Linked DNA regions of Mus musculus. The protein of the gene in region 3 interacts with the protein of the main gene of each other region in a pairwise test. Links are inferred from orthologs where the notes say so. Each region holds a gene or a part of one and is shown on either strand. Other genes may lie near its edges.

What was found.
Region 1: the proteins of Dmrtb1 (region 3) and Qk interact in a two-hybrid assay, tested with the Homo sapiens proteins (2 studies listed by BioGRID). The link is inferred for Mus musculus from reciprocal best matches to the Homo sapiens genes DMRTB1 and QKI.
Region 2: the proteins of Dmrtb1 (region 3) and Pkp2 interact in a two-hybrid assay, tested with the Homo sapiens proteins (2 studies listed by BioGRID). The link is inferred for Mus musculus from reciprocal best matches to the Homo sapiens genes DMRTB1 and PKP2.

What each region holds. Positions count from the first base shown.
Region 1 is NC_000083.6:10,315,253-10,322,727, reverse strand, and holds the start of Qk (protein quaking), read left to right. Parts: upstream 1-3,366; 5' UTR 3,367-3,854; coding exon 3,855-3,996; intron 3,997-7,475. Other genes in the region: uncharacterized protein Gm46608, read left to right, coding at 2,383-3,009. UniProt on the Homo sapiens protein: RNA reader protein, which recognizes and binds specific RNAs, thereby regulating RNA metabolic processes, such as pre-mRNA splicing, circular RNA (circRNA) formation, mRNA export, mRNA stability and/or translation.
Region 2 is NC_000082.6:16,210,164-16,217,453, reverse strand, and holds the start of Pkp2 (plakophilin-2), read right to left. Parts: upstream 4,110-7,290; 5' UTR 4,082-4,109; coding exon 3,859-4,081; intron 1-3,858. UniProt on the Homo sapiens protein: A component of desmosome cell-cell junctions which are required for positive regulation of cellular adhesion.
Region 3 is NC_000070.6:107,679,781-107,687,220, forward strand, and holds the start of Dmrtb1 (doublesex- and mab-3-related transcription factor B1), read right to left. Parts: upstream 4,451-7,440; 5' UTR 4,383-4,450; coding exon 3,800-4,382; exon of another isoform or gene 3,686-3,799; intron 1,467-3,685; exon of another isoform or gene 1,328-1,466; coding exon of another isoform or gene 1,228-1,327; intron 1,075-1,227; coding exon 866-1,074; intron 1-865.

The sequences.
Region 1 (7,475 bases), on a different chromosome or scaffold from region 3:
GAAATTTTTATAATTTAGATTATTTCTTTCAAAGAATATTGGAACAAAGAACCATCATACATTGAATGTGCAGTTTTTAGTTCTTATAAAAAACTCCATGGCAATAAAGACAGACCTGCTTGGAATATTGTTAAGTTTTTACTCTAAATGTGGAGAGATGCAACAAGCTAGTAGAGCCAATGAAATTGAACAGAAAGCACATTTCCACTCCTAGCTAATTAGTATAAAAATGAAGAGCCAATTTTATTGTTAATAGACGAGTTTTCACTGAAAGAGCTATTACAAGGATCTTCATATACCTGTGTATACCTATCTTCATGTACATTTATCCTGCACATTTTGAAAACTGTATTAGAATGTTTGCAATAACAGGACTGAAGGATCTATAATAATTGCTGAGATTGTAAGCTTGAAGGTACATATCTCAATAAACTTTGTAGTCTACATTGCATTCATCATGTTGTGTGATCAATACATGTGCACAATGTGCAGAAGAGTGGGAGACAGACAAAGATGGGAGCCTATGGATGAGTGCCTGGGCAAGGTCAGTGGCCCCAAAGGCCATGTGTTCACTTGCTGTACAGTCCTGGACTGCCTCCACTAGCCACTAAGCTGTTCCTAGGCAACCAACCATCTCAGTTCAAATATGGCTACTCACACCTCCCCACGTGTCGGGGGAAGCACTGAAGGAACTAAATCAGGTAAGAATTTTAACCTCAAGTATGCAACTAGCTAATGACACTCCTCTTTGAACACCAAAGTCATGAGAGCCTACACATGTGCTGTTGTTGGGGTTAGGAACTCTCAAAGCGTGAGAGTCTCTGATGGCAAACAAACTGACGCACAGATCTGACATGGCATGTGAGAAATGTGACAGAAACAACTAAACATTTAACAAAAAATAGAGGTGGCATATGGGAGCTGGAGTGGGGCTTTTGGGCAACTAGGGAAAACTTTACAAGGGTACACCAAGCCCAGAGCCCTACAGATGCCAAGCATGTGTAGAGGTCAAGACACATGAGGAGTCCATCTAGTGAGCTTGGGCAGCAACATCTCTTGGGGCCTAATAGGTCTTGGGAAACTCTGGATATTTTTTTTCTTAACCTGAGAAATCAGGCAAAACTAAGCAGGGGAAGAGAAAATGCACTAAATGGCTACTATTTCCAAGTGATGGGTCCACCAGGGATTGAGCCATGGTGAATGAATATTGCCTATTATTTTCATTCAACTACATTATAAAAGTGGTTGGACATATGGGTCAAAAATTATGTAACACTGTAATGAATTCAAAGGATTTACTGGATAGGGTCAGTAAAATGGGGATGGGGGCACTCTGGTATAAAATATACATGGATTTGAACAGCAGATAGGGCTCATTGGCTATAGTGCTGGATAAAATTATTCAGTTTCCCTCTTCCTCTTCAGGGGTTTCCTCTTATGTAAAACTTGGGGCTGCCAGGATTGCCTAAGGTACAGGACTGCTCTGATTGAGCTATAGAGGGAGAGCAGTTACCAAAGGGCCTATAAGTGTGACCAACTTACAAAGGGGACTTCTCTTGCACAAACACAGACAATGTATAATAATTCAGTGACAAAATATTTTTTAATAATATACAAGAAAGAAACCTCGTTTTTTTCTAGATTCTGAAGAAAGATTTAGAAAATGTAGTAACAGCTTTTTGATCAAATTATTCCATGCTTTCACTAATTTATTGTTTAGAGATAATTAAGGGATTATCTATAGTACTAAGAACTACTATAGCCATTGTTGGAAAATTAAAATTATTTCAATTACATGTTAACTTTGTTCATCATTTGCTCTAAAAAACGTAGTTTAATGGACAACTAGAAAACCAAAACCCAAACCAACCCAAACTGTAGTCTTTAAATAAAATAATCAGAAGCTACTGGCCAGGAAAAGAGTAAAATTGCTTTAAATACCGTTGGTACCACACAAACTTCGAAAATGCTCTTTAGAAATCGCGTAAATCAAAGTTTAAAACAACAACAACAAAAAAAGCAATCCAACTAGCCTGCTTACGTACACATTTAAAATACAGTGAGATGATTCCCAGAAAATTATAGCCAGGGCCAACTCTCAAAATGGTTAATTTGACAATCTTGTCTACATTTTAATGGAGCATGTTATAGAGAACTTGCAACAAAACAGGGATGATGCAGATTTAATGACCGACAGCTTCTATAAATCGCAGGACTTCATTGCTGCAATTCGGAACATTGTTTCCGAAACAAATGTAACCGGCAGAACTTCCTCTACACGCCATAGAAAGCCCCTGTCCTGGCCCTCTGCCTGTCATTTATTTATTTATTTTTGTCAAGTAGGTAAAAATAGGCGTTGGCCACTTCGTTTTTTCCCCGAATATGTACTCCTCACACAGGCTCCCTTGTGCGGGGGCCGCACCGCTGAGGAGCCAGCGCCTCCGCCACCAGGGACTGGAACCTGCGGTGAGGATTAACGGAACCGCGCGTCACGCCGCATGGAACAGAGCCCGCCCGCACGCCCGTGGGTGCGCACGCGTGTGCCGTCTCCGCCCACGGTCCGGGGCCGCCTCGCAGCCCACGGCAACGCGAGGCCCGTCACGCGTGGCGCTGGCTCCAGGGGAAACCTCACTGGAGTCCCTACCGCCGGAGACACTTGCGGTGTGGGCGCCCACGCCAACTCAGTCCGCCGCCACCTCGCACCCCAAGCGATCCGACGGCCGGGTTTCCCGCCCCGCGAGGTGGGCGCCGCGCCAGAACGGTTCGGTCCCGCTCCTCCGTCCGCAGGCCATCTTCGTCCCGCTCCACCCCCACGCAGGCGCGCTCCAGGCCCGCTTCCCCCCCACCCCCCGCCCCCACGGCGCGCTCTCCGCCAGGTGGGGCGGAGCGACCCTCGGAAGGGGCGTGGTCACAGTCCTCGACGCGCGCACGCGCTCTCAGCCTCTCGGCTACGTGTCTGGACACGTGACGCCCACCCGAGAGTCCCCAGTGAAGCAACAGGACGTTTAAAAAAAAAAAATTTTTTTTTTTTTGAGGGGGTAGCGAGGAAGGTGGACGAAGAGGTTTAAGAAAAAAAAAAAAAACCCAAACTATAGTAACGCGCGCGGACGCGAGGCCCGGGCGGCGGCGAGCGCAGCGCGTCGCGGAGAGTCCCGCCGGGATTCCTCTCAGCCGCCGCACCCGACCGCGCCCGCCGCCTCAGCAACAGCGCGCCGACGAGCCAGCGCCGCCGCCCGCGTCCCCCTCAGCCGCGACCCCGGCCCCGCGCGGGCGGCCACCGGCGCGCGTCCTCCCCGCCGCGGCCCGGCCCTGCGCCGGCCGTCCCGCCCGAGCGGCCAGGGGCGGCGGCGCCGCCTGAACTGAGGCGAACTCCGCCGCCAAGTGAGTGAGGAGGAGGAGAGCCGCGGAGGAAGAGGAGGAGCGCAGTCGGAGCGCGGCGGCGGCGGCGGCGGCGGTAACGCGGAGCGCCGCGGCGGACAGCACCGCAGACTCGCGAGCTCCGGCGCAGGCGGCGCGACCGGCCGACGAGCGGCCCCCCGGCTCCTCGCGGCGCAGCGGCCCCGCGCCGCGCTCGGCCCGAGACCCGCCTCTGCCGCCGGCCTCGCGAGGGGAGCCGCGCCGGGCGGCCGAGGAGCGGCGGCCGCGGCGCGTCGGGCCGGGCGAAAGTGCCTGCGGGGGGCGGGCGGGCGCGCGGAGCCGGCCGCCCCGGGGCTCGGCGCGGGAGCCGGAGCGGGAGCCGGCGCGGAGCGGGACGCCGCGTCCCGAGCGGCCGGCGGCCGGAGCTCGCCCCCGCCCCTCCCTCCTCTCCTCCGGCGGCGGCGGCGGCGGGCGGAGTGAGCTGCGGAGCCTGGAATATGGTCGGGGAAATGGAAACGAAGGAGAAGCCGAAGCCCACCCCAGATTATTTGATGCAGCTGATGAACGACAAGAAGCTCATGAGCAGCCTGCCCAACTTCTGCGGGATCTTCAACCACCTCGAGCGGCTGCTGGACGAAGGTGAGGCGCCCGGCCCCGGCGCGGCGGCCCGGGATGGCGGGGCGGCGGGAAGGTCAGGCGGGCGGGCGGGCGGGCGCACAAAGGCGGCGCGGGCGGCTCGCGGCCCGGCCGGGGCCGGGCCAGGCCCGAGGGCGGACCCGGGAGCGCGCGGGGCTGCGGGGCTGCGGCCGGCTCCCGACGGCGCGGCGGCTAGGCTCCCCGCCATCCCGGCCATCTCGGCCGGCCCGGCGGGGCCACGCGATTCCCCGAGCTCCGCCTCGCCTGGCCCGCGGAGCCCCGGCTTAGCGGGCTCTTTTCGGTAGAGTTGCGTGGCCCGCAGTACCCGATCGGACCCCGAGATGTCCAGGAATCACGTAGGGTACCGAAGAAAAGTAGTGCTTATGTGGCCGAAGGCGAGGACGAAATGACAGAGTAGAACACTTTTTGTCCTTTTGTTTGGGGAAGCGAGAACTGTTTGGGAGTTTAACTTCACTTTTTTTTTTTTCTTTAGTCTGTGGTGGTGGTGGTGGGGGAGGAGTACGAAATACCGCGAGGACAGACCTGAACGGAATCCGAGTTTGGAAGAACTGGGGCGGAGGGTTCGCTCCCGGCGTAGCCGCCTGCGTTTGCAGGGCGGGGAGCTGGAAGTTTGAAAGGACGGGGATAAAATAGAGCAGAAGTTTGCACAAGCCGAGTTAGGAGCGCTGTGGGGAGCGAAGACTGACTGGAGATTAATGCTGGTCAGCTCTGGAATTCCTTTAGGAACTACTCATAGCAGCGACCTGGAGTGTTAGTTCCCAGTAGCTGTAGGTTTCTGTGGACGCCCGGGGCGGGGTTGGGGGGTGGGATAGGACCAACAAGTCTGTTTTAAATCGAGTAGCGAGTAGTTTCTGTCTTCTCTTTTAAAGTCTCTGAGTGGACTGTTTAAAGGAAGCGGAAAACTATGTTGTACAGATGAACATGGATTTTAGGATCTTGAGAAGAATGTCGAAAAATTTTAGAGATAGCTGGGGATATCTGCTGGCATGTCAGGGAAGAACAAAAGACTCCCGAGCTAAAAGATGATTAAAGAGTCATCCTCAGAGCTTCCGTTGGATGGGGAGCTTTGGGCAGTATTTAAAACAGAAAACATTCAGCTATTACACATGAACATGCAACAGCAACACATCGAAAGAGGCATTTTTTATTGTTGGGTTGGTATATTTGTTAGTGTTAAATTGCCCTGGAGAAAAAACTTGAACTGCCCCTTTAAGGGTTTTTGCCTTTCCTATTTGTGTTGGCATTTGAAAAATTGTGGAGGCAGAAAACTTTCTGGAATGTCCAAAAAAAAAAAAAGAAAGCTGGAGCTCTTAAATTGAGTATTTCCAAAAGTGAGCGCTAAGGGGCGCCAGTTATTTTTTTTTAACCTTGGAAATGTTTGGAACAAAATAGTATGCTTAATAATCTGACCTATATTAGGTGCAGTTGAAACTTAAATTTTTAGATGACTTCATTTGTCACTATTCACAAATGTGATTAGGGCGGAAACACCTCATACATTGATATTTCTTCCTTGGCATTGGTTTTTATGATATTAGTAGCATATTTATGAGGAAAAATTTAGTTTTTAAAAGTTCAATCAAGAGGGAATTTCTTACACAACAAACTAGACAGCATATACAATGAACTAAAAAGCATTCTTAAAATGCTTCGTATACCTAAGTGACTTAGTGGACTTATAAAAAGTTTGGATATGTTATAAGGAAAACTAGTAGGCGTTTCTTAGATTAATTGTAAAGGCTGTTCAAGTGTTCTCTTTCAGCTTGATCAGAAATAACTGCCTTATTTTGAGGTTGGCATAAGTCTTTCAACTAGAGGAATTTCAATCTTTGCACAGGCTTATTTCTCTTGGTTAGAAATAGTGACCCTTTGGGTTTCAAATGTAGAAGACAGCTAGTTCAGGATTACAATATTCAAAGTAATGTTTGGTGTCTCCTTGTCATGTTTTCTCCATCTTCACCTTAGTCTGTTTGTTCTTGGGTGTCTGAGCATTAGGCTAGAGTAAAGATAGCTCGGATTTAATAGGAGACAGGAGATTGACTGGGGATTGTGATTGTTTTCATCACTTGCAGGAAATGGGCTGGTCCTTAGTGTGCTATAAGCTTTTAACTGTACTTGTTAGTCTTACTGTAAATTTAATTTGACTTGAAAATTCTGGCTTTTTAAGTGCACCATCATAATTTTCTTGGTAGATGACTTAATTGTGAAAATTGGCAACTTGTCCTTAACCCCTTGTGCCCTCTCATTGTCTAAAACAAATTAATTATGACTTCTGTTTATGGTTAGGGATTACATTTTCCTTTGACTGTAATACTTGGCAGAAAAATTACTTTTAAATTCAGATAAAACTAAGTTTCACTTTAGGGATTAAACTGTTCAGTGATAGTAAGATACTCTACTCTCTGATAATTAGAAACTTTGAATGGGACTATTTAGCAGTTTTATTTTAAAAATTCTTTTCCAGCAGTGAACTTTTAATATAGTTTCTGTTTGAGAATTTTCATTTGATTTAACAAATTTGGGAATGAAATATGTTAGTTTTCTACTTGTTAAAACTTGAATGATAGAAGAGAAATCGTATATTAATTCTTGCTGGCTTAAAGAAAGTAGTCCATAGTTTTAACTTAGGTAGTAGTAACTCAGTCCTTGTGTTGGCTGTTAGTTCTGCTTGGTGAGTTGTGTCAGTCTTTCTTTCCTAGCATCTTTAGCAGGATAGTTTTGTTTTAAAGCTAACAATATATTTTAGGCCAGGGCAATTCTTAAATAAAAGCTATAACTTGAGTTAATACTTCTAAGACTTAAAGGATCATTTAATTAGAGGTGAGCAGAAGATTACAAATAAAATGTGGGTCTTAAACTGCTTTCTCTTAAGATTTTAACTTTATCCCTGGGATAAAGTTACACACAAATTATCTTAAAGACTTTTCTTTGTAATGAAAACGAGTTAAATGCAAAACATTTTTAAAAAATAAACATTTTGTAATTTAATATGAAGACGTGCAGCAGTAAATAACACAAATAACAAGTAGAGAAAAGCAAGAATGTGATACATGAGCATCGAATTTCCAGTTTTAATTCCATGATTATGAGAGAGAGGCTGCTTTTATGAAAATGAGAAGGGTGTGGTTTGATGAAAGGGGGCAGTCTGAATATTTTTACAGAAGCTTGTCAGAAAAACTAGAGTATAATTTAGGAAAAGTAAACAAATATGTTAGATTTTGCATGAATGATTTAAAAATGCTTTTAGTTTTAGATAACCCTTTTTCATAAAATTTCCTGCTCCCTAACTGATCTTAATTTTCAATTAAAATCGGCTTTGCTGTTTATCTTTGAGAATGTGTTCAGTGTTGCAGATGTCATACCTCTGCTTTTCTTGAATTTTAATTCTTTTCTTTTTGAAAAGTCTTGTTTGTCCATAAACACTATGGCTTAAAACTTTGCATGGCCGTAGATACTGAAAG
Region 2 (7,290 bases), on a different chromosome or scaffold from region 3:
TCACAGTTCTGCCGACTCTGCAGTATCCTTACCACCCTCCCACTCAGCCCTTTACTCACAAAAAATATGTTCTTCCCACTTGAGAAGTTTGCTCTTTCTAACCTTCATTTTGTTGGTATTCTATTTTGACAGAGTATAATTAGAAATTTGTAAAAACAGAAAACCCTCCCATAAAAAAATTACATTACCAAATCTGAATGAAAATATGCTATGGGATAACACAGAAGTCACTGTACGCTGAGGCCTGAAAGACACTCACACTCACAGCAGTGTGGGCACAGTCCCACCACTGGCTTCTCCCCTCCTGTCTCCTTCCTCCTGAATGACTAACCCTCTCACTCAAGAGTGACTCATCCATGTAATACCCTTTAGCAAAGGAGTCTTACAGTGCAAAGCTTTATGCTATTTTATCTTGTTAGCTTAGCATTGGTTTTACATTAAAATTGAATTTCTAGTCTAGTTAAAAATCATTAAAAGCTTTTATTTTACTTCTCTGAAAGGGCAAGTCTATTGTTGGCAACTATAAATGACAATTATGAAACAATTTCTCTTTGCAGCAGCACCTGTTAGCTGGCTTTGTGTTACGAACAGGGTTTTATGCTATAGACTAGGCTTGTCCTAAACTCACAGCCATTCTCCTGCCCCAGCCACCTCAGTGCTGGGATTATGAGCATGAGCCACTACACTTGGCTTTTCTAACTGCACCATTTGAAGCCCAGGATAAATGTGTAGTCCTCTCTCCAGAATCCACTCTAATCTCCAGTACTGATAGTTGCTTCTTCAGGAAGTCGTGTAAGTAACAAGCATGGCTAAAGTTTTTATGGTAGCTCTTCAAAGACCTTGTAAAATGAATTGGAATATAGTTCACTGTGCGTTATAAGCATTACATACTACAATTTCTTCCTATTTGGGCACTGGAGAGAGAGAGAAAGACAAGGTAGTAAGTAAAACTGTTTTACACTATAGTCATTTTTTGCTAGCTTTGCTAGCTTTCTTTGCCACTTTTAAATGTTTCATTCTGACTTTTATAGATTTTAAAATTTGGTAAAACATATACATATTTTATAATGCAGCCACACACACACCGTTGAACCTAAGAGATAAAACTGACTTTAAAATATTCACCAGTTTAAAATGATACCAAAAGTCAGTGAGTGATTTCCAGGGAAACCATACACCGTAAGAAAGCCACGGAGGGTGAAAAAGCCTTACAAGGCATTAACCACAAACCTTTCGGCAGACTGTCTGCTGCCTCATCCTTTCTGGTATGTCAACAATCCAGAATTCTCCAGGGTACTGGGGCTAAGGGCAGTAACATCAGGGTCACTCTTTCCAGATCAGCACTGTTTCAGTGCTGTGTTTCCACACTACAGACAGGACACGGATATAAGGAAAATATAAAGCAATCCAGCCACTCTAAGTCCCAAACACTTCCAAAGTACTTCAGTTAAACAGGTGGGAGTCACCTCCTGCTGCTGCTCCAGGGTACAGGGAAGCCCGGTCCCTGTAGCTGACCTCCTTCAGAGTAGGGGTCTGATGCCTTACCCCCGCCTAAGCTGCACTTCTCTGCAGCCTGCCAAAGAGCTCTGTGGTAATCAAAAATAGCTCAGGGCTTTATCCCTTAGTTGGAAAAAACCACTCAACGGAACAGAAGCACCAAGGCTGAGTCTTTGTTCTCTCATGTCAACTCGGCACTATGAAATATCCGTGCACACTTCTACAGTAACGCATGCATCTCCAGCTATGCTCCCTGCACAAGCCTAATAAACTTCTGAGATTTAAAGCTCCTAGTTTCAGAGTGTGGGGGTGGGACTGGTGAGCTAATATCACAGTTCCTCCAAACAGATTTTCAAAATTCTCTTTGGCTGGGAGAACTTTGCATTTGAAAGCTCTGTGGCACCCTTGCTGTTCTCTGGGTACTTAGGGCTTTTGATTCATGACTGCATTTCCTTGGGTTTAAACTTCTTGTTACAAAGCACACCAAATGTGTGTTTAATTCAGCACCAGAATGATGCCCCTTGGAGAAGAACACGTTCAGTGGCAGTGGTTGAATTCACCAAACAGCTCCTGTATTATTCCGTAGAGAGGAGACACCAATTTTCTAGGACTTGGACCATCATCCTACAGCTGTTGATAGATATATGCCTCCCCCCACTCCACCCCTAAAATGATCACCTTATAGTATCTAGCTCATCTACCTTTCCAATTCCATTTAAGGACATAACAGAATGGAAATGCATGAAATTGGAGATGACCAGCTGCCATATGATAGCAAAGTGCTTAGCAAAGCTCCCTGTTCCTTCCTCCTACACTGGACCCCCACCCCCACCCCCACTCCCACCATTTGTTTACTAGTTGATGCCTGCTTGTTCTTCTGGCTGGCCACCCTTACAAGATAAGGAAGAAGGCTCTTCAGTTCCACGTTAGCACTGGGCATGAGGCTTTTCACACTGCAGGATGCAATGGCAGGACTAGCCAGACACTGCCCTCAGTCATCCTGGAGTCCTTTGCCACATTCCTAACCCTAAGGTTTGCTTTTTCTTCTCACCAGGAACTAAAGCAGTTCTTTCCTGTGTAAACCTTTCCATCCTCTTAGAACTTCCTTAGTTTTACTTAGAGGAAAAGGAGTCGTTACAGGGAAGTTTAGTTCCCAAGTAATTTCATTTTGTGTTAGTAATCAAACACTTAATATGTTAACTCATGATCGACTTAAAACTCCACATTTTGGCTTTTATATACCACCTATGCCACTTTCTGTCTGGAATCTTGACTGTTTTATTTGCTCAGTTTCCTTGTCTCTAAGCTTGGATCCACAGTAAACCCAGCCCATGTCTGTAATCTCAGCACATGGGAGACGGAGACGGGAAGTTTGAGGCTGCATCTTAAAAATCGTATCTATATCTACACATATGGAAAGAGAAAGGAAAAAAATACACAGTTCATTTTAAGAAGATAATATAAAGTGCGAACCACATAGCCTAATTAGGGACGTTACAGGCACTCACTTACATGAGCTTGCAATCATTAAACACCTCTTTACTTTTCAAGTATGCAAACATCAACTGCCCTAACCTTTAGACAAACTGAAAAGCGGACAGCCTCCCAGACTCTGCTATTTGAAATCCACATGCTGGCACGGAAGCATTATTATTCTTAATGGTAATCACATTTACCAGAGCTTCTGATCTTTCTGATCAACCACACTTCTGTCAACTAGTCTGTGTGGTGGGGGGTTGATTTTTTTTTTTTTAATGAGGGCGGTTCTGCACCCACGCATCTGTTGGTTCTGGTGTGTGGGTGTGAGGTGGGCAGGCGGGGCTACCTTCAGCCTGGCCAAAGTCTCCTTCCTCCTTATCCTCCGCAGGGTGTTCAGGTTGCTCCCAGACCCAAAGCCGACTTGCTCAATTTGTTTAGTCGCAGATACGGAGTGGAGCACTTGGACGAGGTAACCTCAATTTAGAGGATGGAGGAACCGCAGGGCTTTGAAGGTTTCTTTCTAAAAATATTTATAGAGAGTCGTAAACTCTAAAACATCTCAATAAAAGCCCAAAGCGCCTTATTCCAGAAGATCAATCTTGCATACCAAAGTCTGCATAAAATTTCAAAGTGTTTTTTAGAATCTCAGGGAGAGAACCCGGAGCGAGCGGCGAAGGGTGAAACCGATCGAATTCTTTAATACAGACAATTGTGTAATTAACAAACGAATAAGGTAGACCAGAACCAAAGGTTAGGGAGGAAGCGTGTCCAAAGCGACCAACCACGAGCCGGAAAAGGTAAGGTGAGCAACAGGTGGGCGGGCGGACACCGGTTCGCACCGGGGAGACCTACGACTAGCACGGCGGGTGGGGTTCGACTCACCGCTGACCGCAGAGCTCCGGCCCCGGCGGGCCAGGGTCTGCTGCACCTGCTCCTGGATCCGCTGGCTCCGGGCCGCCGGGTCGCCGCGGCCGCTGCTGCCGGCCAGCCTCAGTCTGGCCTCGGAGGGCAAGGCCAGGCTGGAGCTGTCCAGGTGACCCAGGATCTGCTGGCCCAGCACAGTCCGGATGTAGCCACACTCGGCCAGTGAGCCGGGGACGGCCATCGCGTCGGCGGAGTGACCAGGAGGGACTGCCAGGACCTGCCCGCAAAGCCGCAGAGGCGTGGGGACCGGCAGCAAACCCCGCCCCGCCCCGCCCCGCCCCGCCCCGCCCCGCCCCGTAGGACCCAGGCCCTTAGGGGACAGGGGCGTGGCTCCTGCAAAGCAGGCGCACTCCGCCCGGGGCGAGCACGTCCTCTGAGGCCCCCACGTATTCTCGGCTCGCGAAGGATTGTGGGAGGAGCTGCCCTTAGGACAGGTGCAGCTGGGAACTTCTGCTGTGAGTAGCACATCTAGTTAGTTAGGGTCAGTTACACTGTTCCAAACGTTCACAGATAATGAAACATGTATGAAATAGACGTATTTTAAAGGTTTTTTTTTTTATCCGTAGTACTTCAGGACGCCGAGCTTTTTGTACAGATGGAGCCCCAGAAACATATGTTCTCCCTCAGTGAAAGCCTCTGCTTGCTCTTGCAAATACACAAATTGTACCCAGTGCGCTCTTGTCCACCCACTTCCTTCTTAAGGAACATGCCCACACAGAGAAACTCCAATAAGAGGCCCAGAGAAAAGATGACTTTTAATACTCAGTTTTAATAGCTCTTCTAACGTTGACTAAGCCCTCTTTATGACAAGCTCTTTGCAGGGGAACTCATGAACGAGGTTTCTCACTTAAATCTCCCGAACTTGAGTTTATCATGCTATTAACTATGCTTCACATGCAATTGGGCTAAGAACAAGAGCTAAGCTCAACAGAAGGGTCCTTGAACTTAAAGTTGACAACCGATGCTACTCTCCACATACTGGTATTTAGACTTGGGAGAAGAAAAGAAAAACATCTATGTTTGTTATCAAGTGGGGTCTTTTCCTTTGGTTGCTAGGGTTTGTACCTTTGTTGGAACAGCTAGGGAACACAACTTCTCTTCTTCCCCGGTTCCTAACTAAACAGTTAATGTGGCTTCCTGTTTTGCCTTCGAGCATCGAGGAAATCAGGGACGAGTCACTCTTTCTCCACAGGCCACATAGTCAAAGGTCATAAGGAAAGCTCTGGAGGTGGGAGCTATGAGGTCAGCAAAAGCAACTGGGCCAGTCTTTAGGTAAATTGTGCCCAAAAGCTTGGCTTGCCAAGTCAGGTGTAAATAATGTACAGATGTGATGCTGAGAGCTTACCGAAAACAAGAATGTTATGACGGTTAAATTACAGCAACAAATCCTGTCACCAGCCCCTTGTAAGCAACCTGTTTCCCTTCATCTATCTCCTAGCTCCTTCTGAAAGTCCCAGGTCTGTTGCTTTAAAAGATAACTGCAGCGCCTGCTTCTGCAGGGCCAGGACTCACTCTGGCTTCTGTACCTGGAGAACTATGATTGGTAAGGTCCCATTCTGCTTTCTTCAGCAAGAGACAAACAGGAAATTTCTCTTATTTATCTTAGGAAGTGTAACTTCACTTTCCTGTTTCTTGTCAAATCACTTTTTAAAAGTTCTGTTGTAATTGATTATCTTATTATGCAGGCTCCAATAAATGAGGATATCTTGTAGTTGGTAGTTGGATGGTTTGATAAAAGAATGGCAATTAGAAATTAGCTTACAAGTGAAGGAGGATATACATCTAATTTAGCTTATCCTTTGGTATGGCTAAATAACATAGCCTCTATCCTCCCCAGGTTCCTAACCATACAATTAATGTAGAGCTATGTAGCGTCCTGTTTTACCTGAGGATCAAGGAAGTGAAAAGGAAATAGGGACTAGTCATCCTTTCTCTACAGGCCACATGGTCAAAGGTCATGAGGAATGCTCTGGAAGTAGAAGCTATGAGAACAGCAGGCCTTGGGAACACCAAGTGGTGGGTCATAAGCAGTGCTCTGCATATTTTTACATGTCAACATCCTGTCTGTAAATGGGAATAATAAATGTACCTACACATAGTGTTGCCATGATCACTAAACAAAGAATTGTACATAAGTGTTCAACAGCCCTTAGAAGTCCATTCTTGAGTCTCTGACTTTCTTCACGTCTTTATCATAGATCCCCATCTTACTTAAATGGTATTCTTTCACAATCACTCATGTATGAGCACACATGCGTGCGCGCACACACACACACATACACACACACACACACACACACACATACATATTCACTGTTTCTCTGCACATTTTTTCCACAGATTTTATTTTAATCACTTGTTCTGGTGATTTAAAACAAAAAGGCCCTCACAGACTCATATATCTGGTGTTTGGTCTATAGTTAAGTGGAAGGAATAGGAGATAGAGCCTTGTCGAAGGAGGTGTGTCACTGGGAGATAGGCTTTGAGATTTCAAAAGCCCACACCTGACCCAGTTTCTCTCCCCCCTCCTTTTCTCCCACCCCTCTCTCTCTCCTCTTCCTCCCCACTATCTCCTCCTCTCCCACCCTCTTCTCTGCCTGCAGCTTGTGGGTCAGAGGTGAGCTCTTACCTGGTTCTACCTTACCACACCTGCCTTGGTGATTATGAACTGGCTCTCTGAAACTGTAAGCAAACCCCCAGTTGAATGCTTTCTTTTTAACAGTTGCCTAGCTTGTGGTCTTTTCTCACAGTAATTGAGTAGTAACTAGGGCAGAAGTACCTCATGTTTTACTTGTTAATGACTTCCTTACTGGAATATAAGTTCCAAAACAGGTACTTTCTGTCCATTGCTGTTCTCCAGGACCAAGTAGGTAGGTTTACATCAAATGAATGGAGCAAGCACAAGAACATGCAGTATTTTACAGGGCATATACTGAGTACCAAAAAAAAAAAAAAACAAAACAACACCTGTTAGTATATTTGTTTATGTTTTCACATTGTTTATGTTTCATGTAGTAACTTGCTATATAAAGTCACATAAACATCAGTGCAACTCATTAGCTCTTTAAGCATCAGTAGAGGTAAAATTAAAATAAATCAATGTAATGCTTTTAAATTTGAATACTCACAAAGAATCAGTAAAACAGACTTTTTTGAACTAAAATAAGCATACAAGTTTCTAAGAAGCACCTGTGAGAGCGAGAATCTGCTGCAGGAGCAAGGGCTTAAAGACAGAGAGAGGAGGTATTCAGACTCTGGATCCGTGAGCTGAACCATAGTGTGGATATTTTATCCTAACAAGTGCAGGCCCTATCCTAGTCTCTTTCCTAAGAGAAGGCTTATTGTTTCTTAAATTATGAGCAAGCTCTGAGATAACTGTTGTAGGTAGCG
Region 3 (7,440 bases):
GGGAGGAAGGAGGATTGCTCTCTGGGCTTTGTCCCCCTCTCCTGGGCAAATGGGACTAGAGAAAGCACACAGAATAGCATTAAGTAGGCAAGGATAAAGGCGGGGTGTCTCTGGGTGTCTGGAGCATGTGGCCAAGGCAGGGCCACATGAGTGAAAATAGACTCCTGCTCTTAGGTTGGATCCAGACGTGATGAGCATGGAAGGGGAAATTGTCAGCATTGGAATTCCAAGCTCCCAGACAAGTCTCTCCTTAGAACAAAGCTCCTGCCTGGGCCAGTATGGCAGCTCAGTCCCAAACATGGGCCTGAGTCGCACCTTTCACAAAGGTGTCTGGTAGACCTGTCATTCAGAACCCTGCCGTGCATGTCAAGTCCAGACTTCTGGGTAAACAGACGGTGTGCTGCAGGCTGCCCTTGGTCACAGCCTCTCTTTGTCTGGGGGCCAGTGGCACCTGCTCTCCTGGACTGTGGTAGCGGCCGACGGGAACAGCCACATCTTTCAGGCTGGCATGGAAGTCAAGAGCTAGGTTTGCTGTACCTCGGGGACACACTTGAGATAGCAGAGCATGCCTGGGCTTGAGGCAGGGCATCTCTGACTCCATACCAATCAGCCAAGTGTGCTGCATCCCAGGCCTCATTCACAGTCCTGTGGCATTGGGGCTCGGCAGCAGGAAGGCGTCTCTGGCAGCTGCATTGCACGGGTTAAGACTACAGTCGCCCCTGGGCTCCAAGTCTGAAGAGCAGACACCACACCCCGGGCCCATTCCCCCTTATGACAACCAGCTCTCTGGGACTGAGGGCCAGGGAAAGTGATAAGAGCGGCTGGGGTAAGAACAGGCTTAGACAGGAGTCAGGCTCCAACTTACCAAGCCGCTTCTATGGTAGGGGCTGCAGGAGACATGCCGGAAGCCTCTTTGTTGAGGGACCCCCAGAGCAGAGGATGAATCCTGGCCTTCCGAAAGTGGAAAGGACTGGTAGGGTGAAACAGGGACGCAGGCAGGGCACTGCTTGAACGGCTCTCTCTCAGGATTCCCAGCTCCTACCACATGATCAGACTTGAATCTCAGAGGATGCCCTAAGAAGATAAACAGAGAGGGGAAGTGTTAAGAACACAAACCTGAGGGGTGAATGCATTGCTGTCTCCCGGGCAACAGAGAGATTGACACAACCGACTAAAGCAGTCTCTAGTCAGACATCCCACTGGGCTTCTTTATACTCTTATACATACACAGATAATGTATTCTGGTCACATCCACAACACGAGCCCTCTCATCCCCTCTCCTTGTCACTGATCCTTTCTGCCATTTGTCCTCTTTCTGCCTTAACATCTCTTTGGGTATGTATGTGAACCAGTAAGATTAGCTAAGGCTACTTTCAGGAACATGGGTGGCCACACCACTGAATAATTAATAACTACTAATTGCCTACAGATCCTCATGACCCTAACCCCGTGCAGGCAGTAGGCTGCCAGTGAGCTAGTGAGTAGAATGGACAAGCTATGCTTGCCACACTCCACCCCTTCTCCTGGCTCTTGTATTCTTTCCCTCTCCCCTTCATGCTGTCCCCTGGGACCTGGTGGAGGTGATGATGGAGATTCCATTTGGGCTGAGCATTTAACACTCACTCTACGACCCTTTAACCACTTCAGAGTCTAACAGTAACGGCCATGCAACACTAGCAGCAACACTCTAGCACACCGGTGAGATTCCCAGTCCCCCCCTTGGTTCAGCGCTGTGTTGGGCAGAGACAATGGGAGCCCTTGGCTTTGGCTGCAGTCAAGCTGTTCCCCGGGGTTGGTGCATCAGGAGGGGACAGGACAGGACGTCTAAGCCACCGTGTGGTGGTTCTCACCCACCACTGGACTCTGCTTCAGTTTCTGTTCCTGGCAGTGCTGGTGTGAACAGCACAGCCCAGGCACTTCCTCTGCAGTCACAGACACCATCTCTCCTCTTCATTTTTAACCCCACTGTCCCTGAACACTCAGCCATGCTGTTTTGCCCACATGCAGGGCCCACCTCTCCTACTTAGTAAACTCTCTGGAAACGCCTCCCAAGATGCATCCAGACAAATTCCTGCTTTCCTCATCCAGGTTTCTCACCAATCCATCTGACAATCGAGAGTAGCACCATCAGAGCCAGCAAGATGGCTAAAGGCACCTGCCACCAAGCCTGACAGCCACTGCTCCATCCCAGGGACCCATGAGGTAGAAGGAAAGAACCGGTTTCCCAAAGTTGCCCTCTGACCTCTCCTCCACACATGCTGGGATTAGCCACAAGTGGCCTCTTCTCCCCCCCTCTTTATAACACATTTTAAAGTTCCTGTTTGTTGAGAGATGAACACACATATGCCCTCATAGGACTGCTGGTTTATTTAAGTCTGCCTTCCTCATCAGACAGATAGTTCCTTGGGGAGAAAGATTTCTTACAAAATCTCAGAAACATTAAGAATGATTAGCATTGGAGCGGAGTGTGGTGGCGCATGCCTTTAATCCCAGCACTTGGGAGGCAGAGGCAGGTGGATTTCTGAGTTCGAGGTCAGCCTGGTCTACAAAGTGAGTTCCAGGACAGCCAGGGCTATACAGAGACCTGTCCAAAAAAAAAAAAAAAAAAAGAAAGAAAGAAAGAAAGAAAAAGAAAAAGAAAAAGAAAAAGAAAAGAAAGAAAAAAAAGAGAAAAGAATGGTTAGCATTAATTTCTGAAAGTCTGCTCTTCAAGGAAGGAACTTGTCCAAGGCTACACATGGGCATCCCCTCGACTCAGACTCTTTCTACATAGCCCTAAGGAAAGTAACCCCCTCTACCCCCCCCAAAAACCCAAGTCTTCATCCCAAAGAGCCGCATTCCAAGAGCCTCAAATTTTACATTACTTGAAAACATACTTCAGGGGCTAGAGAGGTGGCTCAGCGGTTAAGAGGTTAAGAGCACCGGCTGCTCTTCCAGAGGTCCCAGGCTCAATTCCTAGCACCCATGTGGCAGCTCACACCTGCCTGTAATTCTAGTTCCAGAGGATAAGACACCCTCACACAGACATGCATGCCGGCAAAACACCAATGCATTATAATAAATAAATTATAAGATATAAATATAATTTTAAAAAAACTCAAGAAATCTACTTCAACCAGGAAAGCAACCTACAGCATAAAGAAACAATGTAATTAATGCACAAAGCGAGGGGGAAAAAAAATCTTAGTGAACCAGCCCATCCCCCTGGCCAACTAGCAGAAAGTTTTATTCCCCACCACATCAGGTGAAATGGAACAAGTGAGTGTGAGTACAGGTGCGTTAGGCTAGACACTGCAGTTAGGATAAATTAGCCTCGGCTCAGTGAAAGGAGGGTGCGCAGGCGCAGTTTAAGGTGAACAGCCACTCAGAAAAAGACTCTCCAGCAGGAGAAAAATGGCAGGCGGGGAGGGGGAGGGGTTGCCACGCAGGCACAAGAGATCTAGACCTGGGAGGGGGGAAGGGATGCCGTGCAAACGCGCTAGAGGGGCCACGGAAAGGCGCCACTGCCAAAGCTGCCCAGCTGCCATCTTTTTTTTCCTCTTGCAAAAGTACAGAGGCAGAAAACTGCATCTCAACAAAGCCCCCCTGCACTGCACATTCTTCCCTACCAGCTTTTTCCCATTGCTATCATCAGAAGCCACCCACCCAAATCCTTGTCTGGGAACAGGTTCTCAAGCGGGGTTACCTGGGGAAGGCGCCTTTCCCACCCCGGCACCAGTCTGGGACTCCAGCTTAGAGCCGGAGGCTGCTGGCCTGGTACAGGCCGGAGGAACCGTCGGCTGCACGAGGCTGGGCTTACCGTAGTCGGCGAACGGCAGTCGGGGCACGGGCCGCACTGGCCCTGGCACTGGCACGGGCCGCACTGGCAGGTGCTGATCCGGGTAGCAAAGCTCCGGCCTGGGCGCCTGTGGCATGAGCTGGGGCAGCCACGCGGAGGAACGGTCGCGCAGTCCCCCGGGGGCCCCTGGTCCAGGCTGGAAGGTGCTGGGGCCCGGGCGGCCACTTGGGCCCAGCTGGAAGGTGCTCGGGCCTGGGCTCGGGGCCTGCGGGGGCCTCTCGAGGAAGCAAGTGGCCGTGGGGCCTGGCCCAACGCCTCCCGGAACCGCCCTAGGCAGTGGGCAAATGCTGGAGCTCAAGGCGGTGGCCGCCGCTGCTGGAGCCCTAGGAGGCAGCTGGGGACCCTGCGTGCCCACGGTCGCCACCTGCTCCTCGGCAGCTTGGGTTCTGAGAACCTTCTGGGCAGCCATGATCTTCTGGCGCTCGGTGATCAGGTAGCACTTGTCACAGATGCACTGCTTCCAGCGGCATTTGCCCGTATGGCCCTTGACTGGTACCAGATAGCCATGGTTCCGGCACCTAGAGCACTTGGGGGCGCGAAGCATCTTGTCGTCTAGCTGGGCAAGCTCTGCTTCCAAACGCAGCCACCACTTCCCGAAGCTGCAGAGCAAGTGAAGCAGGAATGAGCGGTGCCCCCATAAGTCCCTGGTGCTGGGGACATTGGATACACTTGTAACAAAACAGCTCGCTGAATGTCCGGAGAACTGCAATAGGACTCTTGCATTTTTTCCACTTTCTGTGTGTGTGTGTGTGCTAAATTTACCGTGTTTCTGTGTGTTGGGCAATGGTGTACGGTGTAAATTAAAAATGAAATACTTATTACATGTATGTCATACGAGTTATTTGAAGTTTTCGGCACTTGAATTTTCAAACTTCCTGTTCCCGCCAAATTGTAACTGGAAAATAGATTTTTTTTTTTTTTTTTTTTTTTGAAAAAAGGCGGACTTCTACTCAACGGTCGAGGGTTTTAAAACTCCCAATGAACAGAGCTGTTAGTAAACCCGTACTATTGGAAAGTTCCAGAGAACACTGTGTTTTTCCTCCCCGAAGCAGCTGCTTCTGCTTCATCTCGCTCCTCTGTAGAGAAAAAGAGCAGTTCTGCTTCCAGAATATTCTTCAGCGCTTAGTGCAGTGTTGGTTACTTACAGGCATTGCAGAAACCATGAGTTTTTGAGTCCTGTTTGTGTAAGCACTAGGGTCTGAAAAATGCATGCTTAATAATGTTCTAAAGTGCCGGGCGTTGGTGGCGCATGCCTTTAATCCCAGCACTTGGGAGGCAGTGGCAGGCGGATTTCTGAGTTCGAGGCCAGCCTGGTCTACAGAGTGAGTTCCAGGACAGCCAGGGCTACACAGAGAAACCCTGTCTCGAAAAACAAAAAACAAAAAGCAAAAACAAAAATAATGTTCTAAAGCAAAACATGATAGTTCGGAACTAATTTGAATTACTGGCTTTTGGGTTTGTTTGTGTGTGTGTGTGTTTGTGTGTGTGTGTGTGTTTCTTGTTTCATATGGTCTTTTAATTGTCTTTATGAAGCCAAACACAACTACTTAAAAAAAAATTCCCTAGCCACTGGAAATACATTGATGAAGCATGCATACTTCTCTCAGGAGAGGGGCCATATAAGTAAACATTTGCAAGAGCCTTCCTCAGACATCTGCTCACCCAGTATAGGGCACACAGCACGGTGTGTTCAGACCTAACTTAGGGGGGCTTGCCCCTCCAGGATGGCCTTTATTCCCAGAATCTACCAATATCACAAGGAGCCACAATTTGCTTGTTTTGTGACAAAGCATGTGTTCCAGTCGGTTCACTCTGAGAGAAGGGGAGCTCCCAGCTTTGGAGAGTAATTCCACCCAAAAGAAAAAAAAATCACATACATGCACACACACACACACACACAAGCAAGCACAATCTCCATGAAAAAAAATCTAATAGCCTACATACAACCTGTCATTTAAATATATATACATATATGTGTGTATACACACACATACACACGCGCGCGCGCACACACACACACACACACACACACACACACGCTATCTGCCTCCTGAGTGCTGGGTTAAGGGCATGCACCACTACGCCAGGCTGTGGTTCTTTTTTTTTCCTTTTCAAAAGAAATATCTATGGTGTCTTTCAAAAGGTTTTCAAAAGGTAAAGACAGGCAGTGCTTTAAATAGTAAGCAGGCCATCTCAGAGGGTCAGAAGCAGCGCGACTATGTTCAGCGCGACTATGACTAAGATCAGAACTAAAAGACTACAAAAGTGGAACTATATCCCTACACCGTGCAGATTCCCTGGAGCTCCCTAAAGCCAGAAAGAAGTCTTACCCCACTGCATTAACTGTAGGATCTGTCCCAGCTGAGTCCCCGCGGTGGCCATCCTGACTCGGGCTGCTGTAGTTTTGAACCTCAGCAGAAATCGCTGTGGGACTCGGACACCATCTGCCCACTTCCCTCTGGAGAATGCACTGCAGTGACTCTATGGGGGGGGGGGGGGGGTAAAGCCCGGGTTTCCAGCAGACCGCCTTCGGCCCTGGGGTCAGACAACTTGGCTGGCGCTGGCTGGCAACTTCGACTGCCGGTCTGTACACTTCCAGTTCCCGCCATTACGGCGCCCTTGGCATCACCCATTTTCTGGAAGGTACAAAGCCCGCAGCGGCAAGATCACGGTCTTTTACGACCACCACTTCAAAGATTGGTCCGTACTTTGAGAAGAGCTAGCCTAGAGACTCACTGGTCTTAGTGGCTCACTGGTGTAGAAACTCGGCGAGCCTCAGAAAAGAGTGATTCTAGCTCACGTGGAAGCCGTGGCTGAGCCAGCGAATCTTTCATCCCTGACTCGGGGTTGGGGAAGACCTGGCACTGAGTCGCCTGAGCCTCCTGACTGGAGAGTCTGGGCTGTTTTAATTCTCGTGAATTTAGTTATTTCTGTGAAGCAACCAAAATCTTAGAAAGGCTAGCACATGGCACAGGCTTCCTAGTGGCTTTGTTTGTGCTGGGCATGGAACCCGGGCCTTGAGCATGTTAGGCAAGTTATCCAACTAAAAATCCCACCTTTTATTTTCCCTTCTTTCCTTCCCTGCCTCCCTGCCTCCCTCCCTCCTTTTTTCTTTGTGTAGAATCTAAGTGAAGTTACTCAGGCTGCCCTGGAGCCCCCTCAGAAGCCCTGCTGTGGACCCCGAACCCCAGATCACCTGACTTAAGCTTCCCATGAGGTTCAGTTACAGCCAGATCCAGCTACAAACATTAATGACAGATATTAAGTTATTCATAAATTTATTTTTATAAAAGTTTGTGGCACTCTTGAGGGGTGTCATCTGAAGTGGGTAGGGACACAATAATACCTAAGCTTAGGGCACGATCTGCTCTATTTTTGTTTTGTTTTTGTTTTTCGAGACAGGGTTTCCCTGTGTAGCTTGCTCTGGCTACCTTCAAACTCACAGAGATCCCCCTGCCTCAGCCCCCCCCCCCCCCAACTGGGTCTAAAGGTGTGAGCCACCATCCTGCGGCTCGTTCTGTTTAAGGAGGTATTTCTGCTTACTAGCTAGCTCACTTCTGTGAGCTTTTCACTGCCCTGCTGTGAAATCTTTCTGGTGATGC